2 linked regions of the Notamacropus eugenii genome follow. The protein of the gene in region 2 interacts with the protein of the main gene of each other region in a pairwise test. Links are inferred from orthologs where the notes say so. Each region holds a gene or a part of one and is shown on either strand. Other genes may lie near its edges.

Region 1 (7,469 bases), on a different chromosome or scaffold from region 2:
CTTTGCACTCCCCTGCCTCACTTAAATCCAACTCACTTGCAAATTAAGAATGCTATCACCCTCCTGATGTCACTGGTCCTCTTTGAGAATGAAAGATGAACAACAACACATACCACCTTTTCCAGAAAGTCCCCTTCATCCCATATCAGTGAGAATACCTTGGACTTCAAATAGGTCTTAGCACTTCTCTGATCTACTTATTTTGTGTTTTCTTTATTTGTGACTGAGACTGACTGCTTTCCACTCTACAGTTAAATTCCATAAAGACACAGACTTTCTCTTAACTAAACTTATTTCATCAATCACCTCCTACAGAGCTCCACACATACTAGAAAATTAATTGTTCAACTGAAGACGAGTAAATACAGGAGATCCCCACTTGATGGTGTGCCATTTACTCAGGGATACTAGCCATTTGTATAGTAGTATGGCTTAAGAACACTGGCTTTGGAGATCCAAAGGACCCAGTTCAAACTCTGCTTCTCAAGAGCTATATGACCTTAGGCAAGTCACTCAAGGTCTCATTTCCTTATCCACCAAATGAAAAGGTTGGAACAGATGGCCTCTAGCTTTCTTCTCAGTTCTAAAATTCTATGATTATCTGGAGCCTTGCCTCCTTCTGATCTGAGCTTGCTTTCTTCAGGTATCTGTCTGTTACTTCCCATCCCCTCTAATGTTTGTTTATGCTGCTTCTTAAGCAAGTCCTTTTCCTGTATTTCTTGCTAACCTCTACTCTTCCTTCCCTTTGTCCTTTCTAATTACCCGCAAAGAGTCTCAGTCAGAGGCAATGACGTGGGATGCTAAAAAGGGGGCTGCTGGAGACTAGATCAGATGGCCTTTTTCAGATGCTAACATTAGGAGAGGTTGCCTGGAAAGGGAAACTAGGAAGACCTGGGATGGAAATCCCCATTTTGATTTATAGTAGCTGTGTGACCCTGGGCAAGTCATTTAGACTCTAGTAGAATCAAACTGAGGTTCCCTACACCAATGAAATTCCTATTCTAGTCCCTATCATTGAGTCCACAGTTCAGAGAAACACTAGATGGTGCTAGCGGTTAAAATAACCTGGTGCCTTCACACACATCTTAACCACCTGGCTTATTTTTTCCGGTTTTCCATTCAGGTGAATGGGTACTCAAAGGGCACCCTTTTGAGTGCCCCTAGCACCCTAAATGCTCAGTATCTCTGTGAGCAAAGGAATGTGTTTAATCCCGTTGAAGATAAGCACCCACCAAGTCTCCTTGAAAACTCCTCAGACAAATACTGCAAGCCCTGGTTAGGACCTGACTGAGTAGTTCACCCCCAGGCAGTGCCACCAGCCCTCTCTGTCCCACAGCTAACAGCTTAGGTGACTGCCTCTTCGGGCACGCGATTAGTCAGATCCACGCTGGGGCAGGGCTTGGAATGTACTGCAGCTTGAACTGTGCCCCCTGACCCCCCTACATTCCTCAGGGCTAGGCTGAAGGTGATCTCATGGGCTGACCCACTCAGAGGTTAGGATTTAGAGTTGGAAGAAAAACCCAGGCCTCCCTCTTTTAGAGATTTTCCTATGGGTAAAGTGACTTGCTCAAAGTCCTACAGTAATATAGTAACCACCAGTCATGAACTTGGTTCTTGTGATTCAAAGTGGGTGCTCTTTTCTTAGTTCCATTTTAGAAACTAAGAGGGGTAGGGTAAAGAGAGTGAACCATCCCCCCCACCTTTAGTCTCTTCATTTTCCCTGCTCACCCCTCCCCCCCAAGCTTGCTCTGGCGTCTCAGAGGTACCTCTTATACTCACACCTCTGCTTATTATTGACCCTGGAAATGTGAGCCCCACCAGGGAAATCCAGTCCCTTCGCAGCCGCAGCCGCAGCCCCCTCGGAGGAGGGGTGGGGAGAAGAGCGGGGCTCAGCACAGATAAAGAAAGGCCGGCTCCAGGACAGGGGTAAACCCTTCCCCAGCCCCTCCACCCCCTCTCTGGCTCCAACGCACCAAACCCTGGAACTTGTCTCTCGATGGGAAGGAGGAAGGGGCTGGCGTCTTGTTCTTGCCCCCAAAGAACGGGTGGGGAAGGTGCCTGAACACGAAATAGAAAAGGCATCACGTCAGACCCAGCTGGGTGGGAGGTCTGGCTTGAGGGTATTTCGTAGGATTTAGAGCTTATGCCTGGCACACAGTAGGCGCTTGCTATGTGCTTAATGAATGGATTCATTCATAGGACTGGATTTGGATCCGGAGAGTTCTACTAGTTCAAGCCCCTCTGGTTTTTTACAGCCGAGGAAACTGAGGCTGGGGGGCCAAATGACTTGCCCAAGGTCATACGGGGGTGGTGGCCATGACTCCAGATGGAGGGTTTTTGCCCCAAAAAGGCTCTCACGGGGTCGGCCAAATTTCCTGGGGGGAGGAGGGGAAGAGGGGGCGGGGCACTTGGGGGAGCTGGCGTGCTACGGGATGTGGGGTTTCCTGGCCTCTCCACCACCACCCCCCCCACACCGCCCCAGACACCTTCCCCCTCACACTCGCTACCCGGCACCCCCATCCAGCCCCTAGCGCCGGAGCCCGGACCGGGCACGGTCTGGGTCCCCTGGACTGCCCCTCCTGGGTCCCAGGGATAGGGTTATGGGTGGGTGGGATATGGGGGATGGGAAGGAAGGCCCTAGGAGCCAAAAGGGATCTCAAACCAGAAGGGCTTGGGGGTAGGGGCGAAGGAGGACCAGGAGTTCTGCAGTCCCCTCTCCACCCCCTCTATTAGGTCTCGCCCCCTTTCCCGAGCGTGCACATGCGCCCCGGGCTTGGGAACCCCATATCCCCTCCACTCCCACCCATTGCACTGACCATAGTGACCGGAGCCTCTGGAAATCGTCCCGCCCCAGGGAGAAGGAGATCCGGCGCGGGAGGGCGCCACAGAACGATATCTCCAGCTCAGATCGGTCGGGGGCCCCCGAGGGGTGCGGAGTGTAGAGCAAAATACCCGACCGCTCACCAAACAAGAGGTGAGATCTTCACTGTGTCCCAGTAAGATACACACCCTGGGCTTGACGCCTAAAGGCTGCAATCAGAAGCCGCGAAGCGTGGACGTCACAGAAAGAGGGCGGGATTTCAGTTGGCTTTAGCCTATGTGTAGGCCTCCAGTAACTGAACGCCACCCTCTTTTAAAAAGACAGAAACCTCAACTACAAGAGTTAAACCTCAAAGGACTGGTCCCATTTTGAAAGGCTGAATGAACTTGTGTGTTTTGAAAAATAAAATGTAAAATGATGTTTCTGCAGTCTATTTTAGATTCCATTCTTTAAGACTTCCTTATCATATGAATTTCTCAGTAAACAACAGGTTTACATAAAAATTGTTTACCCAAGGTCAGAGGACCAGGAACTTGGCTTGCCTACACAGTACTTGGCTCATTGTCTAGCTAGCATCTAGCTTCATGTTATTCATAATAATAGCTTTTCTTCCTGTCCCGTGGAATGGTATTAATCTGCATTCATTCCATAATAAGAGGGGTCATTAGTACAGTCTGTCAAGGTTTGCACAAGGTTTCCAACACATATATTATTCATGTGAAATTGAATAGTGCTACAGGTAGTATTTCCCCCATTTTACAGATTGGGAAACGGAAATTCGGAAATGTTAAGTGACTTGTCTATGTTCATAAAGCGGTATTAGCAACAAACCCAGGTCCTCTTGAGTCTTGAATCAGGACACCATAGAACGTCCACAGACATTTATTTATGTATGTGTACTGAGAGTGCTAATACTTGAACTTGGGTTTCTGGACTCCTAGTTCATTGTCCTTTCCATTTGCAGTATGATTTCCGTTTTTTGGAATAGTGGAAAGTATGAATGTATGAACAGGTCACTGCTTATGCGCAATGACTACAACAAAAAAGAACTGCTGTTTTCATCTCTTAAAAACTTTTTTTTATTGATTATATTTTTTGTTTTTACATCACCTTCCCAAATATATCTTTCCCTTGCTCCCCAAACAGCCATGCTTTGTAACAAATGTAAATGACAAAGATGAAATAGAAATAACCCTATTCAATGACCCTGTGGTAATAAGCAACAGGTGAAAAATAAAGATCTGTGATCATGGAAGGTGTTAACAATTGTGATGAGATAGATTCAGCACAGAGTTCACATTGAAGAGGAATTCGCCTTGGATGTTGAGATCCTCTAGGTTTGTGGATGGCATTGTGCCAGTTGAACCAAACTTTTAAATATTGCAGAAGAATTGAAAGAAATCTATAATCGCTCAAAGTAGTTTTTCGTATTCATCCACATAGGAAAGATCAAGTGTATAAATAAAGTCTAGTGCCCAAATTTCAACCTGCATTTGGTTGAACTCACTAAAGAGCTTATCCAACAGCATGTGAGTCTGGTACGGTAAAGATGGGCAATGAATTGTGTCCAGAGCTGAATGGGAGAAAGAGAGCAAAAACCTTGATTGCTTATGGGAAATTGCAAATCTGTGCTACTGAATCTAAGCTTCCCATGAAAGCAAAGATCTGTCTCTTTAGTACTACCATTCTGTTGATGTTGATATATTCAATAAGACTTGGAATACAACTCCTTCCAGCTAACCACCAATATGCCATTCCTAGTTTCTCTCCTTTTCTATCTTTCTCTCCAACAGCCTCTTGACTCACATCCTCAACCTTAAGCAGAGTTGCAAAAGAGATTGTTCCCACTGCAGTGTGGCATCTCAGTTTGAAATATCTCATCCAGAGCCTCCTCACTCACTCACTCCCACTTTTTGTGCTGTTTCCCCTCCAATTAGAGAACAAAAAAACCCAATGTTGTCCCTCTAATATTTAACTTTCCTTCAGTCCATAAATTGTGAAATGCCAAATGATTCTATTCCTCCAGCACAACTTTATTCTTTAGTATACAATTCCTTGTGTCTCAGAGGTGCTATGGGTTATAAAAATACAGATGAAATGATACAGGTCTTGCTTTCAGGTGTCTTGTAATTTAATGGGGAGAAGGGCAAGGACATATAGGTCAAAATGTAAGGGAGGAGGTGATTGATGCAAAAGAGAGGACTAGTAAGGCTATGAGAAATTAGATGGGCTAGAGATTACCATCACATATGGAGGAGATATCATGAAGCAGGTATAAAAGAGTTACACCTGGAAGAAAGGAAGGGACTTAATTAGAAAACTAATTGAATTAACAACTTAAGCAAAGTTGTAGGATATAAAATAAACCTACATAAATAATCTGCATTTCTATATATTACCACCAAAATCCATCAGGAAGAGATAGAAAGAGAAATTCCATTTAAAATAACTATAGACGATATATGTTATCTGGAAGTCTACCTGCCAAGATACCCACATGATATTATGAACACAATCACAAAACACTCTTTACACAAAGGCATAATATTAGTAATTGGAGAAATATTGTTTATGGGTAGGCTGAGACAATATAATAAAAATGACAATACTGCCTAAATTAATTTACTTAGTGCCATATCCATCAAACTATCCAAGGGTGATTTTATAGAGCTAGAAAAAATAATAAAATTCATCTGGAAGAACAAAAGGTCAGGAATATCAAGGGAATCAATGAAAAAAATGGGAAGGAGGGAGACCTAGTAGTATCTGATCTCAAACTATACTACAAAGTCATAATTGTCAAAACAACTTGGTAATGGATAAAAAATAGAGAGGTTAATTAGTGGGCTAGACTAGGTATACAGTATACAGGATCAAATGAATACAGTTACCTAGTGTTGATAAACTCAAAGATTCCACCTAACGGGGCAAGAATACACTATTTGACAAAGCCTGAAACCTGGGAAACAATCTGGCAGAAACTAGGTGTAGATCAATATCTCATACCATATACTAAGATAAACTCTAAATAGGTACATGATTTAGACTTAAAGGGTGGCATCATGACAACAATTAGAAGAGCATGGAAGAAATTATCTCATATCTGTTGGGAAAAGTTCATGATCACATATGAGATAGAGAGGTTCACAGGCAGTAAAATGTGTGATTGTGATTACATACAATTAAAAAAAACTTGCACAAACAAAACCAATGCAGTTAAAATGACAAAATAAGCAGGAAAACATTTGCACTAAGTTTCTCTGATAAAACTTTCATTTCTAAGATATATAGGAAACTGAATCAAATTTATAAAAATAATAGCCATTCTTCAACTGATAAATAGAGAATATGAATAAGTAGTTTTCAGATGAAGAAATCAAAGCTATAAATAGCCTATGAAAAAATGCCATAAAACACTAACTGAGAAATGCAAATTAAAGCAGCTCTAAGGTACCACCTCACATCCATCAGATTAACTAAGATGACAAAAGAGCAAAATGACAAATGCTGGAGGGGACGTGGGAAAACAAGTACCTTAATGCAATATTAGTGGATGTGTGAAGTGGTCCAGCCATTCTCAAGAACAATTTGGAACTGGGCCCCAAAATTTACAAACTGTATATACCCTTTGACTCAGTGATACCACTGAGAACACATAGATTATGTGTTCCAAAGGGCCCTGGATCTCAGTATGCCACCCATGGTGTCCTATCCAGCCAATCTGAGCTTAACAAGAAAAAGATGGAAGGTCAATAATCAAAAGGCATTTGAAACATTTTGGTAAAGAAAGGAGAACTGAAGAAATTCTATACCCCAAAGAAATCAAGGAAAAGACCCATATTTACAAAAACACTGATAGCAGCTCTTTTTGTGGTAACAAAGGATTGGAAACTAAGGGTATGCCCATCAATTGGAGAATATCTATCAAGTTGAGGATATAAAAATGTGATAGAATACTACTGAGTTGTAAAAAATGAGGAAGAAGGTGATTTAAAAAAAACAAGGAATACTTGCATGAACTGATGTAGAGCAAAGTGAGGAGAATCAGGAGAATGTTTTCTATAGTAACAAAAATATTATAACAGCTATCAACTCTGAAAAACTTAGGAGCTCTCATCAACATAAAAACCACAATTCCAAAGGATTCATTATGGAACATTTTACCATATTATCCACCTCAAGATAGTGAAGTGATTGATTCAAAGTGCAGATCAAAGCATGTTGTTTTGGTTTCTCTCTCTCTCTCTCTCTCTCTCTCTCTCTCTCTCTCTCTCTCTCTCTCTCTCTCTCTCTCTCTCTCTCTTTCTTTCTTTCTTCCTTTTCTTTTTTGGACATAGTTAATGTGGAATTTATTTTACACAACTATACAGATTAGTAATGAGTTTAGTTTGTCTTGCCTTCTTTCCTACTGAATTTTTATTGTTTGAAGTATTTGAGAAACAAATAATTTTTTCAGTTCTGCTTTCTTTACAAAAATGTTTCAAATGCCTTTTGGTTATAGACTGTTCATCTTTTTCTTGTATGGTTAAGTTCAGATTTGCTGGATAGGACACCATGGGTGGCATACTGAGCTCCATAATTCCATTCTCTCCTATGTTTTCTAGTGGGGACAGAATAGTCTTGCATTTCTTGAATAGCCTTTCCTTTG
Region 2 (6,996 bases):
TCCTTTTTTCCTTCCTCCTTTTTTTAGTGGGGGCAGGGGGTAAGGGAGATATGACTAATAAAGGAATTTGTTTTGCATGACTATACATATTTTAATGGGTTCAGTTTTTCTTGCCTTCTCAGATTTCCTTTTATAAACCACACCAGCAGACTATATCCATAACTAGTGAGGAAAGCCCAGCCATTGTACCAATCACAATCATCATGGGAACAAGAATGTCATTGCGTGGATATGGATGATCCAGAGATCATATCTCCACAGTCCTAGATGAGCAAGAGGCTAGATGCATAGGCATATACATACCCCAAGGAGACAGGCTTTTGGGTTCCTGCCCCAGGGACAACAGGGTTCTAAGTAATTTTCCTTTGAGAATATAGCAATTGAGATCATATTGAACAAAAGGCAGGGACCACAGGCACTGGAGCCAGGGAGGCAACAAAGCCCTCTTTCTCTAAGCTGTGTGAGCAGGCAGCATCTGGCTTTAAGGCAATTACATTGCCTAGATCCCTACTAAAGATGATTCCAGAAACCAAAAGCCATAGGATCAGGTATTCCATTCTTCAGCACCTTTAGGATAGCCTTGCTGGAGAATGCTTCTACATCATATAGAATGGAGGGAGACAGTTGCACAAAATACAGCAAAACTAACCACCACTGGAGCTGGAAGGTGCTGAGCCCCTTATAATAATTCTTTATAGTGCCTGATGTCTTCTGTTTACTCATATTTGCATCATTAGTTGCTGTGCCAAGATGAGTCTTTGTCTTTTGATGTCCTTTTGGATAGAGCGGTCAGCCCTGTTTGGTATTGACCTGGGTTTCTGTGCCGATCTTAACCTCCCAGGGTATGTCTACATTAAGAGCATTGGTAGGTTTTAGACCTCCTTGGATTTTTGAGATTCAGAATACTGAATTTTTAGGGTTCTTTATGGTATCTTAGGACAGAGTGCTAGGGATTTCAAAGCCTTTGGGCCAAGGATGTTACCTGAGATCTGCCATGCCCATACTATTCACTGATACTTCTGGCTCCTAAGATCCAAGCTATGGATCCAACCTCAGAACTTTTTCATGGAAGCCCCCTGCTCCCCCTGCCTCTTGATACATAGCCTTTTGGGCTACAGATATTTCTGGTCACATTAGGAGATGTTTGCCTGCATTGGTGCTGACTTTCTGGTATGCCACCTTTCCTGTTGGGTAGACTTCTGACAGACTTGTGCCATTCTGAGATGAATGAAGTAGTTTCTCATTGAATTTCTTGATCATTATTTCATCATTAGTTCATGTTAATTTTTAGTATTTTGCTAGAGTAGGTATATGGAAGCTGAGCTGCCCATCTTCATTCAAGCATCCATCTTGGTTAGAAGTACTCACCTTCATTTTTCTGAAGCCTTTGTAGCAAGTGTGCTCTGGTTTACTATCCCAGAGTCAGGTTGTTATACTTCCTTTCTCAGGATTCTAAGAGTACCCTGAGAGGTCAGAGGTATCTTCTCTACTGCTCTTTTGACCTTTTGAACCTCACCAGGTCAGAGTCTCCAGTCCTTTCAACTAAAATGGAAAAGGAAGACACAAGGCCCATTCATGTGGTCACATACTGATCTCAGTGGAGAAGGACCAAGGTCTGTCTCCTTACAGCATTGTGTCTCACCAGATGCGATTAGCAAAGAAGTCAAACCAGGAGAACTAGGTGAGAAGGGCCCAGGAAAATGTCTGAGACTCTGTTCAGATGTCCTTTGAGATATCCCCAATTCTGGTCATGTAGCTAATTGAAAAGTCTTCTCCTAACAACATGGTTAGCAAAGCAGAACCAATTACAGAATGTCTACATTTACTCCAAAGTCTCTTTAAAGCAATTTCATTATACATCATCAAAACTATCCCCAACCTCTTCCATTAGATTGTAAGCTCTCTAGGGGCAGCTCTTATCACAGTGTCTGGCACATAGTAGGTGCTTAATAAAGCTAATTGATTGATTGAAAGAGTATTACCATGGGAAATACTAACCAAATTTAGAGAAAGGGCTGTGGAGTCTGAAGGCAGACCAAATCAGACTATTTTCACCTTTTTTGTTCTTGTTGCTTTGTCTTTCTCTTGGTTTTCCCTTTTGTTCTTTCTTTCACATGACTAACATGAAAATATGTTTAATATGATTGTACATGTATAACCTATTTCAGATTGCATGCCATCTTGGGGAGGAGAGAAAGGAAGAAGGGAGGAAGAAAGAAAAAGGTTTGAAACTCAAAATCTTACAAAAGTGAATGTTTAAAATTTTCTTTACATGTAATTGGAAAAAATAAAATACAATTAAAAAAAGAAAGAGTATCATCAAAGGGAATCTGAATATATGCCAGTCCCCTTTAATAGATTTTCTTTTATACTTTGTCATCATAGTCCATGGTTTCAATTCTGAGAAGTCTTTCAGAGATTATAGGAACCTTTTCTTCTTTCACCTAAACTAGCAAATCTGTCTTTAACTCACTGTAGTGACTCATTACCATTCACCTCTTCTCTCTCCCTGAATTTGGTACCACATTAAAAAAAAAGATGCTGTGTTCTATGAGCAAAAGCAGGATTTCAGTAGCTCAAAAGAAACATGAGATGTGCAGATTTAGATACATCTCTTATCCCAAATGTTCATATGGACTACTTGTGCCCAACTTGTGATAGAACCTTCTGAGCTCATATTGGTCTGATCAGTCACAGTTAGACACAATGTACATTGACGACCCCCCTTCTCCTCCCCCCCATAATGTTATTTTGTTCCCCTTCCAATATGAAGGACAGCAACAGTTGTCTCCAACTTAAATCAACATTTTCTACTGAGTTCAGAGATTGGGAGTGAAACCTTCATTTCTCCCTCATTATCTCTCCACCCTCCCTACTTCCCCCAGGGTCACTAGACAGAAGTATTATTCAAATTACCTTGGGCTGTTTCTCAAAATTGCTAGAATGGAGGGTGAGGTACCAGTCCCTCTCCATAGACTGGGAAGGGAGAGAATTGTCCCTGCTGCACAATTATAGAATGAGAAGAATTACAGAATCCTAGAATCTCAGAACTGGAAGGGATACCAGGCAACCCCTACATGATGCTCTGAATTCTCTCGGCAGTGTTGGTAACAAGTGGTCACCCAGGTTCCCCTTGAACACCTCCAATAACAGGAAGTTTAGTCCTTCTAGAGCAAATCCATTCCATCTTGAAAGAACACTTATTGTTGGGGAGTTCTGGTTCTCTGGGATTTCATTTCTTTTATCTCTGCCTCTTGTGGTTATGCAAAACAAGTCACATCATTCTTTTATGGGACAGTTCTCTGAATATGTGAAGACACAAATCACCTCCTCCCTTAGCCTCTCTTTTCTAGGTTAAACATTCCTATCTGATCACCCTGTGACATGGTCCACCATCCTTGGTAATTTGACTGAAACAGGCTCCAGATTCTCAGTGTCAATATCATTCCTAAAATATAGCACGCATAATAATAGCTAGCATTTCTATGGTGCTCAGGAGTTTACAAACAATTTTTCCTTACAACAACCCAAGCAACATTATCCTTATTTTGAAGAAGAAGAAACTGAAGCAAAAGGAGGTCAAATGACTTGCTCAGGATCACACAGCTGGTAAGTAAAATGAGAAGGCTGGTCACATTGAAGCTTATGGTCCCTTCTATATCTTAGGTGTCAGAACTAGGATTTATTTCCAATTTATCCTCTATGAATATATCTTGTTTGTTTACAGTTGTTTGCATGTTGTCTCCCATCCTCCCCCCATTTTATCCCCTTGAAAGACTAGTTAGTTTGGGTGGGGGTGGGATTTGGTGTTTTATTTTTTGCCCTTCTTTATAACCCCAGTGCTTAGAACAGATCCCTGAATATAATAGATGCTTATTAAGTGCTTGTGGATTTGACCTGACTTGGCCCAATGTCTCCTGACTCCAGATCTAGCTCTCTCCCCATGGCACCATGCTGCCTTGGCAGTCCCTGTCCCAGAGCTATTCACATCTATAAATATGGAATGAAAATCTTTGCAGTATTTAAAGGAGGTAGTATGGTGCACTATAGTGGAAAGCACTCGACTTTAAAAGACCTGAGGCTCAGATTCTATCTATTAACTTGGGCCATGAACATAGACATGTGACAACATAACATATCTGAGTCAAAGTTTCTTCTGAGGTTCTGTCAATGAACAGATATTAAATGAAGGATTTAGTAATAACCAGTTTGGCTTCCTGCCCCTTGATCCTCTCAGCTGTGCGTGATGTGTGTGTGTGTGTGTGTTAGCTATCACCTCCTTCCATAACCTTCATTTTACAAAGGAAAAAACTGAAGCTGAGAAAGAGAAAAGAGGTTTCCAAAGCCACTTAGCAAGTCTATGTGGCTGGCACTTGAACTCAGGACTCCAGAAAGTGCCACCCTGCCCTGTTCACCCAACTTCTCTTCCAACAAAAGTCAAGTCCCCAACTAGGGAGCCACCATGAGTTTTGGAAGACAGTGGAGAACATAGAACCAGGGATAGTCATTAAATTTGGATTACCTAAATATTTGTTAAATGCCTACTAAGGGCAAGAGGACACTATCTTTGGTCCTGGGGACATAAAAATGAAAAACAATAGTTTATGCCTTCTAAGGAGTTTTCATTCTGGTTGGGAAGGGATGGTGTGAGGGGAGTGGTAGCAGGGAATCCAGTGAGTTCACAGGTTAGAAACCTACAATGTGATATAGGAAAAGGAGAGATCTAGGACGAATGCTCTAAAAAAATTGAGGAGAGAGAGAAAACTTGAAGTGAAGGGCATGGATAAGAGAAAGGCACATAGAGTCAGATGTCAGTCTAGACTTGATTTTAAAAAAGATGATTTGATCTAAGGCTGGGGTCAGGACTCAGGGAACCATATTGAAAATTTTAGTCTTGTGTCTGGATTTAGTCTGGATTCTCAATTCAAAGTGGGTCTGGTTTTCAGAGCAAAGTCTAGGACTAGGGTCAGGATTCAGTTGGAGGTCACAGCTCAGTCTATCTTTGGTATAAAGTCTTCCTCTGAAGTTAGAGTTCAGTTTGTTGATGAGGTCAGGGTTCAAGGCTGAGATCAAAGCTTAATATAGGATTGGGGCTACTATTTAGGTTGGAGTCAAAATTGGGTTTCAGTCTATAGATCAAGGAAGGGAATCAGACTGGTATCAGGAATCTATATATTGTCTGCTAGAATTGAAGGAAACCAATGAATGAGTATGAACCCATTTCCTATGGGCTTTGGTTTTCATTTTTAAAAACTCTGGTGGGGCCTTAGAGGAACTGAGAACTTACAGGTTCCTAGAGATATCTCAGAGAACAGCTGCACAAAACTTCTGAAGCCTAGGGTAGTATACCCTCCACTTGACAAAGGACTCAAAAGTCAAGTAACTGACTGGGAAAATGTCCAAGAAAAGGAGGAAAAAATAAGACTATAGAAGGTTACTTTCTTGGGGAAAAGGTATTTTATTCCATCCTTTCAGATGAGGAAGAGCAAAGCATTCCATCAAAGGAAGATATAAAATTCTAGGCTTCTACATCCAAAACCTCCAAAAAATACAATGGTCTCAGGCCATGGAAGAGCTCAAAAAGGATTTTGAAAATCAAGTAAGTGAGGTGGAGGAAAAATTGGGAAGAGAAATGAAAGTGATGCTAGAAAATCACACTGACTTGCTAGGTGGCTTTGGAAACCTCTTTTCTCTTTCTCAGCTTCAGTTTTTTCCTTTGTAAAATGAAGGTTGTGGAACTAGGTGATATCTAAAGGAGACCCAAAAAAATGCTGAAGAAAATAACACCTTTAAAAAATAGATTAATCCAAATGGAAAAAGAGGTCCAAAAAGCCAATGAGGAGAAGAATGCTTTAAAAAGCAGAACTGGCTAAATGGAAAAGGAGGTTCAAAAGCTCACTGAAGAAAATAGTTCTTTACAAATTAGAATGGAGCAGATGGAAGCTAATGACTTTATGAGAAACCAAGAAACTATAAAACAAAACCAAAAGAATGAAAAGATAAAAGACAATGTGAAATACCTCATTGGAAAAACAACTGACCTGGAAAATAGATACAGGAGAGATAATTTAAAAATTATTGGTCTACCTGAAAACTATGATAAAAAAAAGAGCCTTGACATCATCTTCCAAGAAATTATCAAGGAAAACTGCCCTGATAGTCTAGAACCAGAGGATAAAATAGAAATGGAAAGAATTCACTGATCACCTCTTGAAAGAGATCCCAAAGGAAAACTCCTAGTAATATTGTAGCCAAATTCCAGAGTTCCCAAGTCAAGGAGAAAATATTGCAAGGAACCAGAAAGAAACAATTCAAGTATTGTGGGAATACAATCAGGATAACACAGGATTTAGCAGCTTCTAAACTAAGGGATCGAAGGGCTTGGAATATGATATTCCAGAGGTCAAAGGAGATAGGAGTAAAGCCAAGAATCACCTACCAGCAAAACTGAGTGTAATACTTCAGGGGAAAAAATGAAATTTCAACGAAATAGAGGACTTCCAAGCATTCTTGTTGAAAAGACAAAAGCTGAATAGAAAATTTGACTTTCAAATACAAGAATAGAAAATTTGATTTTCAAATACAAGAATCAAGAGAAACATGAAAAGGTAAAAAGGAAAGAGAAGCCTTAAGGAACTCAATAAAGCTGAAGTTTTTACTTTCCTACATGGAAAGATGTTATTTGTAACTCATGAGACCTTTTTCAGTTTTAGAGTCATTGGAGGGAATATATATGTATGTATATGTATGTATGTATATAGATATATATGTAGATGTGTATGGGAATATATGTATGTATGGGTATGGGTATGTATACACACATGTGCAAGTATATATATATACACACACACGGGTGTATGTGTGCGTGTGTATATATGCATATATACATATATGTGTATGTGTGTTTGTGTGTATATATGTATACATATATGCACACACATATATACATATATATACACACACAAATGGACAGAGGGCATAGGCTGAGCTGAATAT

The links.
Region 1: the proteins of FAM168A (region 2) and OTUB2 interact in binary tests that used the Homo sapiens proteins (3 or more experiments, as listed by UniProt). The two-hybrid records come from large-scale screens. The link is inferred for Notamacropus eugenii from reciprocal best matches to the Homo sapiens genes FAM168A and OTUB2.

What each region holds. Positions count from the first base shown.
Region 1 is NC_092878.1:35,625,292-35,632,760, forward strand, and holds the start of OTUB2 (ubiquitin thioesterase OTUB2), read right to left. Parts: upstream 3,008-7,469; 5' UTR 2,820-3,007; coding exon 2,817-2,819; intron 1-2,816. UniProt on the Homo sapiens protein: Hydrolase that can remove conjugated ubiquitin from proteins in vitro and may therefore play an important regulatory role at the level of protein turnover by preventing degradation.
Region 2 is NC_092876.1:131,754,927-131,761,922, reverse strand, and holds the start of FAM168A (protein FAM168A), read right to left. Parts: upstream 3,015-6,996; 5' UTR 2,974-3,014; coding exon 2,917-2,973; intron 1-2,916.